4 linked regions of the Saccharomyces cerevisiae S288C genome follow. Changing the gene in region 2 together with the main gene of any one other region gives a genetic interaction. Each region holds a gene or a part of one and is shown on either strand. Other genes may lie near its edges.

Evidence for each region.
Region 1: mutations in MAD1 (region 2) and EAF1 together harm fitness more than expected from each alone (negative genetic interaction), as found in Saccharomyces cerevisiae (6 studies listed by BioGRID, with this or other methods).
Region 3: mutations in MAD1 (region 2) and CHL4 together harm fitness more than expected from each alone (negative genetic interaction), as found in Saccharomyces cerevisiae (8 studies listed by BioGRID, with this or other methods).
Region 4: mutations in MAD1 (region 2) and CTF18 together harm fitness more than expected from each alone (negative genetic interaction), as found in Saccharomyces cerevisiae (9 studies listed by BioGRID, with this or other methods).

What each region holds. Positions count from the first base shown.
Region 1 is NC_001136.10:1,191,355-1,196,729, forward strand, and holds EAF1 (Eaf1p), read right to left. Parts: upstream 3,531-5,375; coding exon 582-3,530; downstream 1-581. Other genes in the region: GGA1 (ubiquitin-binding protein), read left to right, coding at 1-378; protein-transporting protein BCP1, read right to left, coding at 4,058-4,909; transcription factor TFIIIC subunit TFC6, read right to left, coding at 5,325-5,375. UniProt on the Saccharomyces cerevisiae protein: Component of the NuA4 histone acetyltransferase complex which is involved in transcriptional activation of selected genes principally by acetylation of nucleosomal histone H4 and H2A. The NuA4 complex is also involved in DNA repair.
Region 2 is NC_001139.9:345,485-349,901, reverse strand, and holds MAD1 (coiled-coil domain-containing protein MAD1), read right to left. Parts: upstream 2,784-4,417; coding exon 534-2,783; downstream 1-533. Other genes in the region: LCL3 (Lcl3p), read right to left, coding at 1-286; E2 ubiquitin-conjugating protein MMS2, read left to right, coding at 2,998-3,008, 3,094-3,496; YGL088W (uncharacterized protein), read right to left, coding at 3,701-4,066. UniProt on the Saccharomyces cerevisiae protein: Central component of the spindle assembly checkpoint. Thought to recruit MAD2 to unattached kinetochores. During checkpoint activity, MAD2 is relayed from the MAD1-MAD2 complex to the mitotic checkpoint complex (MCC).
Region 3 is NC_001136.10:963,345-966,989, forward strand, and holds CHL4 (Chl4p), read left to right. Parts: upstream 1-1,768; coding exon 1,769-3,145; downstream 3,146-3,645. Other genes in the region: CCR4-NOT core subunit BTT1, read left to right, coding at 68-517; MET32 (Met32p), read right to left, coding at 646-1,221; ubiquitin-protein ligase RMD5, read right to left, coding at 3,213-3,645. UniProt on the Saccharomyces cerevisiae protein: Component of the kinetochore, a multiprotein complex that assembles on centromeric DNA and attaches chromosomes to spindle microtubules, mediating chromosome segregation and sister chromatid segregation during meiosis and mitosis.
Region 4 is NC_001145.3:422,003-426,572, forward strand, and holds CTF18 (Ctf18p), read right to left. Parts: upstream 2,727-4,570; coding exon 501-2,726; downstream 1-500. Other genes in the region: ESCRT-III subunit protein VPS20, read right to left, coding at 1-147; phosphatidylinositol/phosphatidylcholine transfer protein SEC14, read left to right, coding at 2,987-2,995, 3,152-4,057. UniProt on the Saccharomyces cerevisiae protein: Essential for the fidelity of chromosome transmission. Required for the DNA replication block checkpoint.

The sequences.
Region 1 (5,375 bases), on a different chromosome or scaffold from region 2:
AGTAACTCCAAGGAAATCACAGCTCAATCGCAAAGACATATACTTAACCAATCGGATCACTTACGCATTGATTACGAATTAACTCGTGAGTCGATGACAAAACTACGATTAGTTATCTTCTATTCAAACATAAGCAGTGATCCAATAACTAATTTTGCACTTTTAGTGGCATCACCTAAAGGCACGACATTGTCTCTGCAACCGCAATCGGGCAATATGCTCCAAAGTAACTCCAGAGATGGTATCAAACAGATTGCTTCCGTAGAGGGTATATCTGTTAATTTAGGTAAGCCCATAAAATTGAAATGGAAGGCTAATTACTGCACCAAGGGTGATTCGAAGGAAGAATCGGGCACGACCAGTTTGCCCACAATATAATCAAATTCGGTAGAGAAGTTGAAAAAAAAGTAGATGCCATATTATATTACAGAGAACAGAGTGTTACGCCAACATACTAAACCAGAGAAGTAAAACGTTTTACTTATATATAATAGTATTCGTAAATTTATAAAAATCAAAAAACCAATATAAGCCTGGTTAAAAAAAAAAAAAGATCAGTATCGTAAAGTCGTAAAGTTAGGTCATTGTTTTTGGAACCTTTGTAAAATCTCCTGTGGAGTTGGTGACTTTATCCTTGGAGCAGAATTAATGTTAGAAATATTGGAAAGAGAAGATTGAGATGGAGATGATTTCGGTGGCGGAGCTTGAGACCCTGGTTGTAGTTGCTGCAGTTGCTGCACATGACTGGACTCCTCCTGTAACTGCTGCCTTTGCTGTTGAATCTGGTGCTGCTTTAGCTGTTGCTGTTGTTCTCTCAAGGTTCTATAATAGTTTTTTGCCGCCTTAAGGGCCATCTCAGGACCAATGTCTGGTTTTTGCTCCAACAACTTCCTCGAGTAACTTTCAATGATATCTTGCTCAGTATACTGTTTCTGGTTTGGTCTTGGAGCCGACGCTTGCCCATTTCTAGCCAAATTTGAAGAAGATTTGCCATTTGAAGGTATTGGACTTTGAGCTCGGGATGAATGTGCCTGCTGACTTTGCTGTTGCCTCTGTTGTAATCTATTTTTCACTGTTCTTCTCAATTGTATATCCCTTCTCAATGCCTCATCTCTTTGGGCTTTCAAAAGCGACATTTCTGCTGGGGTAGGGACCTTCATGTTTTTACAATCTAACGGTTTCCTTGGCTGGGTTGGATTGGGACGCGGCGTATTTTCTCTTTTTTTCATACATTTTCTAATCGCCTCAAACATGCTCGCCCAACGGAGTCTCCTATGACCTCTTTGTATGGATTCTGTATTTACACCTAAAGGCGATATTCTTCTATTCTGTCTCTGCTGAAATTTATGGGCTTCAATCAACCACTGTTGAGCACTATGTGCTCTGGGACCCTTGAGGTCACTAAAATTGAATCGTTCATTTAATTGTACAAAACGCTCAAAACACTGCCATGGCGTTCTACGTTCAATATTCGATAAATAAGAATATGTGAGGCGATGTGTCATATGTGCACTAATCAATTCCCAATTGTAGCCATATGTGTTAATATTTTTGACCAGTTCCTGATCGTCCTCAGACAGCCATATAGTCGGTGTTCTATTTTGAAGATAGCGTAATGAAGGTACTGCTGGTGGTCTTAAATAATGATTTCTTCTATTACCATAGAACATACCCCGCCTTTTGCTCAATTGTGATATTGATGGTTCTTCGTCAATCAATTGACGCTCAAGTAACTTATAAAATCCATTATCATCCAGTGACACTACCGATTTGGAAATTGGAATAAATGGTAAAGAATCATCTTTTTTTGGCCGTTCTTCATTAATACCATTATACAGCGGTAAATCCTGTATTAATGTTTTTTCAAAAGTATTGAGTTCGTCAACAAAGATTGAAAGTTTAAATGGGGGGGCTAGCTCTTTCTTTGATTCTTCGGTTTCGATCAACGCTGATGATGCAGCTACTTCATGTTGTATTAAAACAACTTCGCTTGAGGAGGATGGCTTTTTTAGAAGTAACTTGGTGTCAATAGAAGATATAATTTGATCGTGGGCACCTTCTTGAGATAACAAACCATCTGCAAAATCAAAATCACTCTTAGCTCCTGCTTCATTCTTTCCATTCTCATCATTATCGTTAGCAGCAGCACTTTCTTTTTCAGTAATATCGTCAACGTTCGCAATAATTCCAATGTCATCCTTACCGGCTATGCTAATATCGGAATCATTTCTTGAAGTATCCGATGGTCTACCGGACTTTTCAGATATGCGCCCGTCGTCAGATAATTTATTTTCCTTACCAGGTAGAAGTGTTTTACGTTTTACACAGCATATTTCCCCATAGGTCCAGTAGTCCTTGATTGCCTGTGCCATTGCTGTGCAGATAGCTACTTTATATTTGTGGCCCTCTTTAAAATCTGCTTGCATCCATTTAGCTTCTTCTAAAAGTATGTTTTGATGCGTATTGTGTTGTTTCCACGGATCGATGAATCTTTTAGGTTGTCTTAAAGACCATAATCCAAGTCTTCTTAGTTCTTCTATTCGCGAGCCAACAACAGTAATTCTGGCCTCGTTTAAGGCGTTGTTTATAATATTAGTGGTCAAAGCCTTGTGAGCTCTCGGTATTAGATTAATAAGAGGCAGAGTTTGTGACATGTACTTCAATTCTGCTAAGGGCAAAGCCTGGGGTATTTTCGATGGTATATAATCGTTCATTAATAAAAATACGGTCTCTAATGCGTCAACATTGTTCTCGTTATAATGGTCTGATGTATCTATCTCTTTCGCCATAATGTTCTTTATCAACGGATCCTTGAATTTTACTGCAGGTTGCACCTCAGTGGGATCTGCTGGTGGGTACTCGATGTTCTCATAATAAGTGTAGTGTGCTAATGCATTAGGCACTGGGGGACGCGGCGAAATAGGTAATGAAGCCATTTCCGAATTATTAGAAGATTCCAATGACTGAGATTGCATCTTCTGTCTTTTTTCATGTCGCTCTTCTTCACCTCCCATAGTTGACTCAAGTGGCCTTTTGTTCCACATACCTCCTGTCTTTTCAGCTGGCCTCAAAGAATCCATCATATTTTCACGGATTGAATTATCGTGGCTTGGAACAAAATGACTCTCTGATTTGACTGATACATTTTCGCTATTTTCTGGCAGTTCCCTACTCATTTTAGAATCGGATAGCCTCTGGTTAGGTACATTTATTAAATTTACATCCTTCAATTTCTTTTTTGTTATGGGAGTCGCAGCTGTATGTAGGAGCTTCGGCAGTGACGCCTCGTCAAACCTTATACCCCTTCGTATATCGTTTTTCTTTAAAAATGCATCTATTTCCTTCCGAAGTTTGTTTTCATCTGTTAACTCTAGCAGCTGGTTCAAGCGGGATACGCAGTATAGTTCGGTCAGTTTTCTATCTCTTTCATCAATTAAGTCATCTGCCTTAGGAAATTTACTTCTATCACTGCTCTGGTCCTCACTGAGTGATGCTGAATTAGGCACTGCTGAACTTGGACGTGAGGACATCTTTGAGGCGGAAACTGTACTTTTGATTATGATGTCTCTAAATAATCTTTATATTCTATCTGTTCGGCGGCTAACGCCTACGGGTAATAGCCGGCCTTTGAAAATTTCGCGGCTGCAGCAAGTACGCAAAAATCCTTATCCCTTCTAACGGTTCGAAAGGGGGAAGAACCAGAAATTTTGTAGTTACGCCGCAAATACCTGTATGCCCCGGCTCAAAATGCTCAACACTTATATGCTGACTATGTTCTATAAGGCTCAGGGTGAATGACCTTTCTTGAATTACAATCTGATTTCACTTTGCACAATATATACTATGTATTTTTATTGGAGCACACGACATTAAAAAGATGATCGCCCAGAAAAATTTTCAGCGGTGGCGGATTAATTTTTACTGTCCTCGGCAGCCCAAAATTATCCGTGTAGGATGACATAAAGGCTCAATGGCCGCTGCTGCTTCGTCTGTTAATAATATACAAATTGCACTAACTGTGCAGGGCAGTGATCGCAACTATTTACTTTTCGTAAAATTACCAAGTGGAAATTTCTGTTTCCAATTCATCGATACTTTTGACAAGGCCTTCGTGATCAAGAATCATGTATGAGCTGATAACACCCTTTTTAGCTTCTGATTCGAAGTGAATCTTGGCATATTTTTCAAAAAATCGGTCCTCCTCATGAAAGTAGTCTACTTCATCGGCCTTCACCCTTTTTTTGGATCTTTCGTCTTTGTTTTTATTCCTCTTACCAGAGTCGGTATCATCGTCAGTGTCAAAATTTACTTCATACTTCCTGGTGACGATGATATAGAAGTCATAATGTTTGTCATCGCCAAGTGCCGTGGCAACATCCTCCAACGTAATCTTGTATAAAGGTGGAACGACTTCCGGTGGCATATTAATCAGCCTTTCACTGAGAACCAAAGCACAATTTTTATTACCACTATCAATCATAGTTTTGAAGAAAGTGGAAAGTCTCATGTCCACTTTTTGTAAATATTTGACATAATCACTTAGATGATTAGCTTTGAAATCAACGAATGAAAGAAAACAGTATGGATCAGATTCTTTGCCGTCTGTTTTAATTGTGGTGGTTGGGGAACCTAGGATCAAATCTGCCAAGCTGCTTAGTTGAATCCTGGTACTTTCTTGAGGACCAAATAACTGACGCAGTAAATTCTTTAAAGCATGAAAATCAACTTCTGGGTTACCACCGAAAAAATCGAAGTCAATATTTACGATCTCTTCTTCTCCATTTTGCTCTTCTTCATTTTCTGAATCGGTGCTACTAATGTCAATTTCAGACTCGTCACTGCCATTTTCTTCCTCCACATTTTTTCTCTTCCTATTTTTTAAATCATTTAATTTGATAGCTTGAACCATATTTGTGAGTTAATTAGCAATCCTATGAAAATGTGGGCCTCATGAACAATCTAAATGATAAAATTATAAGGACATAATAGATAATATATTGACAACTCTTTTTCAGATATTTTTTCTACCTCAATCTCATCGCGAGGAATATAGGCACGGAAAGAGAAACTCGTATAAAGTGACCACGGATATCGAGAATTTGATAATTTACCCTTAACTGAAGTTATGGCACAATATCTGTATAAATTTTAATACATAATTTGCGGCAGGAATAACTGCAACAATACTCAAAGTTATTAGTGCTAGCCAGGCGATATTTTACATTAGGCTATTTTATTCCTTTTTCATTTCAATAAAAAAAGATAGTTTTTTTCGTCAACAATAGTTCAATGTCACAAATTGTATTTATTACGTAAAGTCCATCTCATGACAGGTATTCGAGTGTTAATAGTCCAGCACTATTAGAAAATGCATA
Region 2 (4,417 bases):
TAGAATCATTCTTGATCATTTGTGGGACGGGTCGTAACCATCCCCATCCACCTCTTATACCACCTGGCATGTGAAAGAAATGAAAGTTGTCCCCGTCACCTACAGACGTGACTTTACCATAAAGCCAGTGTTTACGAAATATTCTTCGCGGTATATCATTTGTTCTTTTGAATTGAGTTAAATACCTTTTATATGTGTAGATCAATGTTAAGGTCGAACCCGTAAGGATGATGGAGAGGACAGCAACATCCGCAGATTTTTTTGAATTAGAATCACCTTCCCTCATATAAGTGCATTTATGCCCCCTTAATAGCTATGAAAAACTGGGCTTCTTTTTATATCATGTGTGACTTATTCTGTAATTTGTTTTTATTCTTCAACACAATTTTTTTTTTTTTGCATACCAAAGGAATCATAAAAGGTCAATGATGAAGAAAGATAAAAGAATTTTGTGACCAACAATTATGTCAGCGGATAGGAGTTTATCATATTATAAAACCGATTACTATTATCTATTAGAAATGTATATACACTTATTTGGCTTGTCGCTGTTCCCACAGACGCAATGTTATTGTTGCCAAAAAGCACGGAAGTTGACCTCTATCTTCCACCCATAGATTCATGAGATCATCCCATCCTTCTATATCTGCATCAAGGTTAGATTTCAAAGTGTTTTCATTTAGATCAGCAATCAAATATTTTTCAGGTTTGAAACAGGAAAATATTTTCACACGACTATCTTGTTGAAATTCCAATTTAAAACCTAATAATGAGTTTACAACGTCAATAAACTCCAAAGATTTATTATTGAAAACTTGCTTTAGTCTGGAAAATCTTTTATTTGACTTAAAAACTTCCTGTTCGAACTGTTTCAACTCGAAATTTAGTGAATCATAAACAGAAATGGGTACTGTTTCCACTGCTGGATTATTCTTTTTCAATTCGTTAAGTAAATCTGCATTTTCCTTTTCTAGAAGAAGTAATTTGTTTTTCTTGATAAATTGATCTTTTATGAAGGGGCCGTCACGTAATTGCAGTATACGTATTTTTTTCTCCTTTAGTTTAGTTAACTTTTCTAATTTTTCTTGTAGTAGCTGAATTGTAGTTTGTGCTTTACTCAACTCCCTCGAGACACTTACATTTTCCAGTTGCAATTCGTTGAGCCTCTGTGAATAATTTAAACCAATTTGGTCACTTGTCAACTTCCTCTTTTTTCTTTGTGTTTCTACATCATTGGAATTTGATAATAACTGATCGTTTAGCTTCTTTAGTTCGTTTGTTAAATCTTCTGTCTTATTTTTATAAGTATCGATCAAATTATTCATATCTTCGTTTACGTTCTTGTTTGACGCATGTGTTTCACTATTTTCGACCTCTAGTAAAGCATTATTTTGTGCGGAATATAGGCCATCTAATTGTTCGCGCAGTAATCGACATTCTTCGAAAGATAAACTCTTCTGTTGTTCTAACTCGTGATTTAATCTTTTCAAATTTACTATGTTGTTTTCATAATTCTTGTTCAAATCTAGTATTTGGTTTCTCTCTAAAGCCATTTCATCATTCAGTAGCTTTAAATTGTTATTGTCCAATCTTAACTTATCATTCATATCTGTCAAAATTAAACATTCCTTTTTGGTAAGTTTCCAGTCCCGGATAATCTCTTCAGGGTTATTTCTTATGTTATTTTTGGTTCTGTTGTTATTATTAATATTGTTGTTATTACTTGTATCATTATTATTATCATTATTATTATCATTTTTATTATTATTATTATTATCATTGTTGTTAACATTGTTATCATCATCATCGTCACTATCATTATAAATTTCCCATTTGGTTAATTTCGATTTTAGATCTATGTTTTCCAATTGAAGATTTTCATATTGACTTTCGAGTACGTGTAATTGACTTAATTTGTTTTGTAGTTTTTCATTTTCTAATTTCCAAAAAGTAGAAGTGTCCTGGGATTGTTTAAGTTTTTTCAATTCATTGGCTTGTTGCATGTTCGCTAGTTCCAATTCTTTAGTATACTGAACTTGGTCTTGGATCATTTTGTTCATTTCAGTGAGCTCGTTGAACTCTTCGGTGGAGTAGTTTGGATGTGAGTTTATCATCTTAGATGCTTTTACCGAAGATAATTCATCATCCTTTTCCATCACTTGATGCTGCAAATCTTTGATATCCACACTTTGCCTCTTTATTTCTTTCTCATATTTCATCAGTAGCGAATGAGAGCTCTCTGCTTCCAACTTGAAATGGTCACATTGGTTAGTGACCTTTGATAACTTCGAATCATACTGCTGCCTTAAAGTCTCCATTTCTAAATCTTTGTTTTGGAGGGTTGTTCGCAATTCCTCTATGCATTTGTCTTTATCATTCATCGAATTAGCTGATCTTTCTTTCAAACTCTTTAACTCTTGCTCCAATTTATCATTGCTTTCATAAAGATATTTTGTATCATTCAATGCTTTCTCTAATTCGTCAATCGTGGCCTTATATTTCTTTTCTAAGATATTCGTCTGTTTTTGTAGCTGCAATTTTTCAATCTCATACTCATTTTGTAGAGTATTGAGCTTGAATTGTAACGCCTGAATCTGACGATTACTTTGTCCATTTGTACTGCCTACGTCGGGCGAACCTCCAGGGCTTTCCAAGAAAGGAGAGGACCCACCACTATTGCTCATTTTGTACTGGATAGAATAGATCTCTAGTCCCAATTTTTTTCCAGTGAATCGTCCACTCAATGCACTGAAGAAACATTGCAATGCCGCTCTCACATCCATTATTTACTATTACCTCTCGATTTTAAGATGGAAAAAATTGTTAGGAATTATTCCTAGGGTAACACGCTATCAATTTTCATTGCTCCTTTAGCGATAAATAAGAGACTAAAATAAGATCAACTTCCTACACAATCTCTGCTCATTACATTTCGATGTCGTGGTGAAATTCTTATTCTGTATATGCAACGTAGAAGAAAGCAGCGTTTACACAAAAATGTCAAAAGTGTATGTTATTATAAGTTTTGAAAGGGATTTCAACATATACTAACAAATTCTTGAAATGTACCCTCACTGTCCTATTGTAAATCAGACCAAGAAATTTTAGGTTGTTAGAAGAATTAGAAAAGGGTGAAAAAGGGTTTGGTCCAGAATCATGTAGTTATGGTTTAGCTGATAGCGACGATATTACCATGACCAAATGGAACGGCACTATTTTAGGGCCCCCTCATAGTAATCATGAAAACAGAATCTATTCCCTTTCTATAGATTGTGGCCCAAACTATCCAGATTCTCCCCCAAAGGTCACTTTCATTTCCAAGATAAATCTACCATGCGTCAATCCAACTACGGGGGAGGTCCAAACTGACTTCCACACCTTACGTGACTGGAAAAGAGCCTACACCATGGAAACTTTATTACTTGATCTTAGAAAGGAAATGGCAACCCCAGCGAACAAGAAATTGCGTCAACCGAAGGAAGGAGAAACCTTTTAGTTATCTACTTTTTCCTAAACAGTATTTGCAGCATTCCAAGCCACTCATATATACAAGCAATAAGACATAGATATCCTCTTATTTAGGTAGTAAGTTTAATTACTTTCATAATATGAATTTACTCACCCCATGCCGAGAAGTTACTCGTGCAATTCACTACGATAATGATGTATATAGTTGTATTATCAATCCTTGCAACGGTCCTCATCCGGGCACACGAAGGTAAACCCTTAGATCTGCTAAAAAACAGACGACAGAAAGACTGTTGCACCCAAGATCGATAAATTTGTTCTCCAGTCCAAGCCAATAATAAATATATTGCAACACCAATCCACATTCTTCATGGGTCAAGAACGCCCCGGAGGGGTTCAACCTCGACGAGATACTGTACGTGTTACGAATGGCTGTTAAATTTGCGTTACTGTTATAAAATAACACTAAAATAAGAAATGGAAAGTAAATAAATAGTAAAGGAAAGTCAAATAAAGCAATGAATGCTGCATTGATCTGCCTTTTATAGCTAAGAAAAAAAAAGAGAAAAAAATAATAAGTGCGGGTAACCTCATGCATTGTAAAACGGTAGGGCTACAAGGCACTACTTACTCTACGCTATAGAAGAAGCTTCAAGACATGGTGTTGTTCTTATTTGAGCGAACTCAGCTGTCACCGTTTCGGGAAACTCTATAGTTTTCTGCGTTTCAGTACGCAGTTGGGCGTGCTAAAGTTGTTTTCCTAATTTGCTAGTGTTCACTTGCTCATTGATGTCCCTAAAAGGTAATGTCGCATAGTAAGATGTATGTCCCATATCAAACGCATTCCTAGAAAAACATGCACTGAATGAATAAGCAGTTACTTCGATTACTAATCTTCACAGCATAATTTTTCTCTTATCTTGTAAACCTCTTTCTATCTTTTCATAAA
Region 3 (3,645 bases), on a different chromosome or scaffold from region 2:
AAAGGTTCCCTGATAGAAATAAATACGGCTAAATTAAATAAACTACTACATAATCCTACAACATCAAATGCCTGTAGATCAAGAAAAATTAGCTAAGCTGCACAAGTTATCAGCAGCAAACAAAGTTGGTGGTACCAGAAGGAAAATAAACAAGAAAGGTAATTTATATAATAACAATGACAAGGATAATACCAAGTTACAAGCTGAACTTCATAAACTGCATCCAATGACCATTGAAAACGTTGCCGAAGCAAATTTTTTCAAAAAGAATGGCAAGGTTTTACATTTTAACAGTGCAGTTGTACAGATTGCCCCTCAATGCAATCTCACAATGATTCATGGCCAACCGAAAGAGAATACACTTAATGGGCTGTATCCGAGCGTAGCCTCTCAATTAGGTAGCCAAGAACTTGAGTATTTGACAGGTTTGGCTCATAACCTAGAAAATGAACAGACGGTGCTCGACCAGCTGGGCGACAGATGCAGCGAGACAAAACAACAAGTGATGAATAGCTGACATAGTTCATAATAATTGCCAGTAAACGTTATAGCTAGTGGCGAATGTCGAAGTGGAAATGCTATCACATTAATGTTGCAGATGAATATATATTTTCTTATTTGAGAAGATACACGCTATTTACTCTTTCAGCCATTACTGCTACCATTGTGGTTGTTATCTTGACGATGAACGATGTTGGATTGCTTGACTTTTTTCAGTAATTCATTGATACCCTCACCACCCGCAGTTAGTAATTTAGTCCTGTTTCTCCTACATGTCAGTGTATCATAATGTCTTTTCAATGCATCTTTCCTTGCAAAACCTTTGCCACATTGAGGACAAATGTTAGGCAATATGGCGAAGTGTGTCTTTTCGTGCCTTCTCAAATCTGATGATCTTGAAAATTCCAACGAACATTTCGCACATTTAAATCTTTTTTCACCAGTACTATTTCTACGATCTTGGGGTTTGCTTTTGCTGGACTTCGGTGGTTTTGGTAATGCGTTTTCCTTTTTAACCTTTATGTTACCGCCTTGACTATTTATATCAACACCATTTTCTGCCGGTATGAGTGCTGGTTTTTTATTTTGTAACCTGTTTTGCCTATTCCTTACCCTTTCTAATAACTCTTTTATTATAGGATCTATGTTATCTATATTTAATGATACATCCACTATTGCTTCTGTAGCCTGTTTGATAAATGCAGCATCCTGATCCTCCATTTGGTACTTTTTTGAAATTTATAATACCTCTTGACTTTTTTCCACTATATTATTAACAAATTCTTGGCATATGACATGAAACCCTATTCAATTATCCAGATGCATACATATATACCATGGATAGATATGTATATCTACTATATCTATATATACCTCGTCAATGTAATGAGGAAAGTTCCGAGGGCGACAAAGAGAACAAATATAGTTTTATTTATAATAATGATACAGAACTCAAGATTATTTCCTGCTTATTTTAAACTAAAAGTATAGCAAGTTCTAACCCACAATCAGGTTCTTTATTATTGTCAAGAAAATATAAACTGTGGCGTACTAAGCGTACTAAGTAAGGGACGAAAAACCATCACAAAATGTCACGTGCATGTTAGTCCAGTCGGGCAATAGATAGGGACTGTAAATTAAAGTTTATATTGAAATAAACAAAGGTAAATGGTAAAAGATTAGAAGCATAGAAAGCATCTGGCGTTATTTTAGCGGGGAAAGATTTTGGTGGATACTATCTTTGACTAGTATATTTGAGTAGCAATTAATGTCTAACGAATTACGGCTTGAAGATAACTATGTACCAACTTCCGACACACTAGTAGTTTTCAAACAATTGATGAAGCTGCCGGTAACGGTATTATATGATCTTACGCTATCATGGTTCGCAAAATTCGGTGGGTCATTTGATGGTGACATATATTTATTGACAGAAACATTAGACTTACTGATTGAGAAAGGCGTGAGGCGAAATGTTATAGTAAATAGGATATTATACGTATACTGGCCGGATGGCCTGAATGTTTTCCAATTAGCAGAAATAGATTGCCATTTAATGATAAGTAAACCAGAGAAATTTAAGTGGCTTCCATCAAAAGCTTTACGGGGAGATGGGAAACCTTACGTAGTAAAGCTCCAACCTGCCAAATTTATAGAAAATTTACAAACAGATCTAGCGAAAATTTACCATTGTCATGTTTACATGTTTAAACATCCCTCTTTGCCAGTGTTAATTACCAGAATACAGCTATTTGACAGCAATAATTTATTTTTGAGTACGCCTAATATAGGGAGTATAAATAAAGAGTCTCTTTACAACAAGTTAGACAAATTCCAAGGGAAACCATTAATATCAAGGAGACCATATTACGTTGCATTCCCGCTAAATTCTCCAATAATTTTCCATTCAGTTGACAAGGATATTTATGCTAGACTAGTTTTGCAGAGCATTAGTCGAACGATATCAGAAAGAGAAACAATCATCTTCAAACCGGTACAGAAAATACCCGTGAAATCAATACATAATATAATGACTTTATTAGGACCTTCGAGATTTGCGGAGTCTATGGGCCCATGGGAATGTTATGCTAGTGCTAACTTTGAACGGTCACCACTACACGACTACAAAAAGCACCAAGGCCTTACTGGTAAAAAGGTAATGGTTAGAGAATTTGATGATTCTTTCTTAAATGACGATGAGAATTTTTACGGAAAAGAAGAACCTGAAATTAGACGACTAAGGTTAGAGAAAAACATGATCAAATTCAAAGGTTCAGCAAACGGCGTAATGGATCAGAAATATAATGATTTGAAAGAATTTAACGAACATGTCCACAATATTAGGAATGGAAAGAAAAATGAAGATTCTGGTGAGCCAGTGTACATTTCTAGATACAGTTCCTTAGTTCCTATTGAAAAAGTTGGATTCACTTTAAAAAACGAAATAAACAGTAGAATAATTACCATAAAATTGAAATTTAATGGTAATGATATTTTTGGGGGATTACACGAACTATGCGATAAAAATTTAATAAATATTGATAAAGTTCCTGGGTGGTTGGCTGGAGAAAATGGATCGTTCTCAGGAACGATAATGAATGGAGATTTTCAGCGAGAGCAGGTTGCTAAAGGTGGTTTACTGTAGAAAACTACTGTGTTCTGTTATCGCTTCCAATAAAAAAAAAAAAAAAAAACCTATGCAAAAATTTCAGTCAAAGCATAACAAAACGAACCTTTTTTGTACTGCTCATTGAAGTATTTACGGGGCAGTATGGGCACTTGAAAGTAATTGTTCCGTTCTTCGATAATCTGTCTAGCGCCTTTTTAGAAATGATGTGATGGCATGCCAGTGAATAAGGAGGATTTTCTGTAGTGGTTTCCTCCTTTAAGACGGGACAGATGAAGATCGGATGGAAATGAGTCAGAAAATCTGGTAACTTGACATCAAATGGCAACTCATCTTTCGTAGTCCAGTCAACGTGCGCTAACTCCCTGATGGTTTTGTATTTGATGAAAAATTGGAAAGAAATTAAACCACTCAATACTATCAAAAACAAGGGAGAGTCAAAGAAAATATGTTTTGCAGCACAATATTCTTTTATAAATAACGACGTGCATTCTTTTAATTCCTTATTTACTTTAGAA
Region 4 (4,570 bases), on a different chromosome or scaffold from region 2:
TATTAGGTCTTTTAGTTGACTCTTCTCTACCAAAATCAAATTATCTGTCCTCCTCGTAAACTTATGAATTTCATCTTTAGATCGTTTTACTTCTAGGATCGCCCTATCTGTTTTGGTTATATGCACTTTACTACTTTTTTGGCCCATTCGATATATACAAAAGCACCAAGTGGAGTTAATTCAGCAGTCTGTACTATTTTTCCAAACTATCTATGTTTTGTTCTTTTCTATGCGCTATATTGTATCCCACAGATAGTAATTCGATTTTCGGTCTTTCTGCTCTTCGGGGTTCCATTTATGTAGAAATAAGAACGATAGCGAAGAGGGTAAAAGATCACGAATAAAAAACGAACGCTGCGTGACAAAATCGGAGCTGTTGCGACTACCGGCAGGATTGATTGCTAATGTTCTTTATTTACTTCTTTTAGATTTCTATGTAAGCTGCTGGTCCATATACAAGTATGCTTCTTAAGAGAGACTGCGTATATATCTTACGTCATTTATTCCCACAGGTTATTCCAAGTCACATTTTTCCTGACAGCGTTAGAGAACCCCTCATTGTATTTCACCCATATTTTAACCGTTTGATTGCAGTCATCTGCTTGGTTGGTTTCGTCTGATCCAATAGTTTTTTGTGTCTCTTCCAATTCCTGAGTTTGCTTCAATAATCCGTACTGATTCTTGAAAAAGTCGATTGTACTTGAGGAAGAATTTAACCCAGTTTTGACTTTTTTGCTATGCATTTCCTGTGACTGTAGTCTATCCTCAGTCACTTGGTCTATATGCCTTTTCTTGGCCCGGTTTTCCTCAATCTTTGCTAACAGTGAACTCAAATTATTAGCCCGTTTATGTTGGACTTCGTTAATATGTTTAGGATTTAACAATACGACTTCATCGATTGGGGGATCGATTGTTAGGCCACCCCTTACATCAAATCCTTCTGACCGATTTTGGATTAGATTCAGTTGAAAGCTTTTCAGCAATTGAACTAATTCCTCCATGATGGCTTGTTTGAGTTTCAGGTTCCTTATTTTATTAAAATCGGAAGAGATCATCGAATCTAGATATGGTAGTATTTCAAAGATTAACGATTTTCTATCCGTAAAACTTGCCATTAGTGGGGACTGAACCGAGATATGTCTCATAATCAGACTAACTATATCTGAATTGGCTCGTTTTAATTCACGTTGTTCGTATTCACTATTCTTCATTCTAATATCATCTTTGTTTGCGATATCGCCAAACGTTTGGAAGAAGACTAGGGGCACAAGGGCGGAGTAACGTAACAATTCGCCATTATGCGCATACATTGATTGGTACATTAAATCATGGAAAAATAGCCAATCTGAAATGTTTGCTGGCTTTCTTATACCATTGTCGGAATATTTTACGTAGGGAAATATATTAAAACAGCCTTGCAATATCCTGTCAGAGTTACCATTAAGCTCTACTTGGTTTAGCAATTCATAAAACTGCTCCTTTATATCACGATGTGGATCCTTTCTAAACAATTGGTTCACGATTTTAAACCATGATATGGGGGAGTCCTTGTTGGATGACGCCCACGTATTTTTTGCACAAGCAGGTTTATCTGATGCAGAGGAATCTCTTGAATCAACATTCGAGGCCAAGAATTGTAAATTGTTTATACAATTCCTTACGTCACCTTGAGCCAAATCAATTAAGTCATTGATTGCTTTTATAGGAATATTCATGTTTTCTTTATGGCAGATAAGGTTCAATCGCTCTAGTAGGGTAGTATCGGAAGGTCTTTTCACAGCAATAATTTCACAGAATGGTTTCAGCTTTTCCAAAGAAGGAGCATATAGATTATTGCAAATACAAATAATAGGTCGCGTAAGCAATTTAGACCTTTTCTTTTTGCGCTTTTTGTCCTTTTTATCTGGTTGACCGTATAATAGTTTATTAGTGGCTTTAATATCGCTTTGCATAATGTCAACTAAAATTCTAATAAATCCACTCTCAATACTTCCATCAATCTCATCCGCCACTAAGCACACAGGATTTGTATCGAAAGTATGATTGAATAAAAGATTATATATTTTCTCTTTTACCATAGGTCCAGCCCTTTCATCACTTGCATTGATTTCTGAGACAGAAAACCCTGATTGTTTGGCAATAACGTGAGCTACTGAGGTTTTGCCTATTCCTGGTGGCCCGTGCAGTAGTAAAATTTTCTTTGGTGGCCTTTTCAATGGATCGAGTTCCATATCACTGACCTCTTTTTCGGTTGGCAATTTGGGTAATTGCTCTTTAAACACAGCCGGCGTCCATTGTCTCAACCAACCTAACATTCTCCTGTTTGTCTTTTCATTACCAACCAAATCTAGAAATTTTTTAGGACGCCATTTCTCTACCCAGAGTGTGTCGCTACCTATCTTGCCAGTTATAGGTGAAGTCTTTTGTGCGTTAGTGCGGTCATCGCCAGATGCCTCAATTTTGTCTAACAAATAGTTTATATTGATGCCGTACGTGTCGTCTGATCTCCAAACAGTATCTGGGTTAGTGTATAGACTAATATTCCCGGTTGCTAACTTCGCAGGCTTCTTCTTTAATTGAACCGTTTCGCCAGTACTTGATACAAACGCGTGAATATCTTCCTCATTAATACCAATTGCATTATTACCAGGGGCTTGTTCTATATCACCAGTATCAAAAAGGGAACTTCTCCCTAGTGAACCAATGTATGGTGCGGTATCAACCATGATCCCTGACCTTACATCCACCTTTTGGGTCAAATAGTGTACACATTAGGAATAAAATATATGAAATCATGTTTATTTACGTGTTAGATGTTCCGTACAACGCGACTGGCTAGTTCGTTTTTTCCACATTTTTTTTTTCAACGTTGATCAACAATAAAATGGTACATCTTCCTTTGTTTGTGTCTTAAGTGTCCTTTCCTGGTATATCGCTTGACCAGCGCCTGTAGCATCAAACCAAACCTTCATCGCCCTAAAACACAATGGTTACAGTATGTTGTTGCTTTTATTTACTTTTTCTTTTTTTGACATTCATTGTGACAATATTCACATTCTTCAGATAGTTCTGTCTATATGAAGCAAAAATGATATATCAATAAGTTTACTAACAAACACAAGTGGTATTACTATGACTTCACTTTAAATAGCAACAAGAAAAGGAATTTTTAGAATCCTACCCTCAAAACTGTCCTCCAGATGCCTTGCCTGGTACTCCAGGAAATTTAGACAGCGCTCAAGAGAAGGCATTGGCAGAACTAAGAAAACTTTTGGAAGACGCTGGTTTCATTGAACGTTTAGACGATTCAACTTTACTACGTTTTTTGAGAGCCAGAAAATTTGATGTTCAATTGGCTAAAGAAATGTTTGAAAACTGCGAAAAATGGAGGAAGGATTATGGTACCGACACTATCTTGCAAGATTTTCATTATGATGAAAAACCATTGATTGCCAAATTCTACCCACAATATTATCATAAAACCGATAAAGATGGCCGCCCAGTATATTTTGAAGAATTAGGTGCTGTTAACTTACATGAAATGAACAAGGTTACCTCTGAAGAGAGGATGTTGAAAAACTTGGTTTGGGAATACGAATCTGTCGTTCAATACAGATTACCTGCCTGTTCAAGAGCTGCTGGTCACCTAGTGGAAACTTCATGTACAATTATGGATTTGAAAGGTATCTCCATATCTAGTGCATACAGTGTTATGTCATATGTTAGGGAAGCCTCCTACATAAGTCAAAACTATTACCCCGAACGTATGGGTAAATTTTACATCATCAACGCGCCATTCGGTTTCTCTACCGCATTTAGGCTATTTAAACCTTTCTTGGATCCAGTCACTGTTTCAAAGATTTTTATCTTGGGTTCTTCTTACCAGAAGGAATTATTAAAGCAAATTCCAGCTGAAAACTTACCAGTCAAATTTGGCGGTAAGTCTGAAGTTGATGAATCCAAGGGTGGGTTATACCTATCCGATATCGGTCCATGGAGGGATCCAAAGTATATTGGACCGGAAGGTGAAGCTCCGGAAGCCTTTTCGATGAAATGATATTATTTTTAAAGACATTTTTTTTTCGAGAGAGAAAAGAGGAGTTCTAAGTAACGATATTTTACAACTGAGATAAGTACAAGTATGCTTATTTACTCTATTCTACTTTTTTGAATAGGCATAGTTCACACTTTTATCTCCTTAGTTTGTACTACTCTTTTTTTATTTTTTTTTTTTCTTCCACTCAGCTATTAGATTATTTATTATTTTATTATCTGTGGTATCATTTTCTACAGCCATACCTTGATTTTAGTTTATTTTGTTGGCAGTTATATACATTTATCTTATAGAATACATATGCACGTATTAAACAATAAAAAGAACATAAGCAAAAATGAAACCTCGCTACAATAAAACTTTATTACGCATTGCAGTGCGCCGTAAAGAGTATTCATTAGAAGTACAATGGTAGCCCTATTTGGTTGCAACATGTTTTAGCAAAGAGATTAGTAGGCTAGGATATCAAGTCCATGCCCCTTTATCACATACTGTAATGATAGATGCACCTCCGGA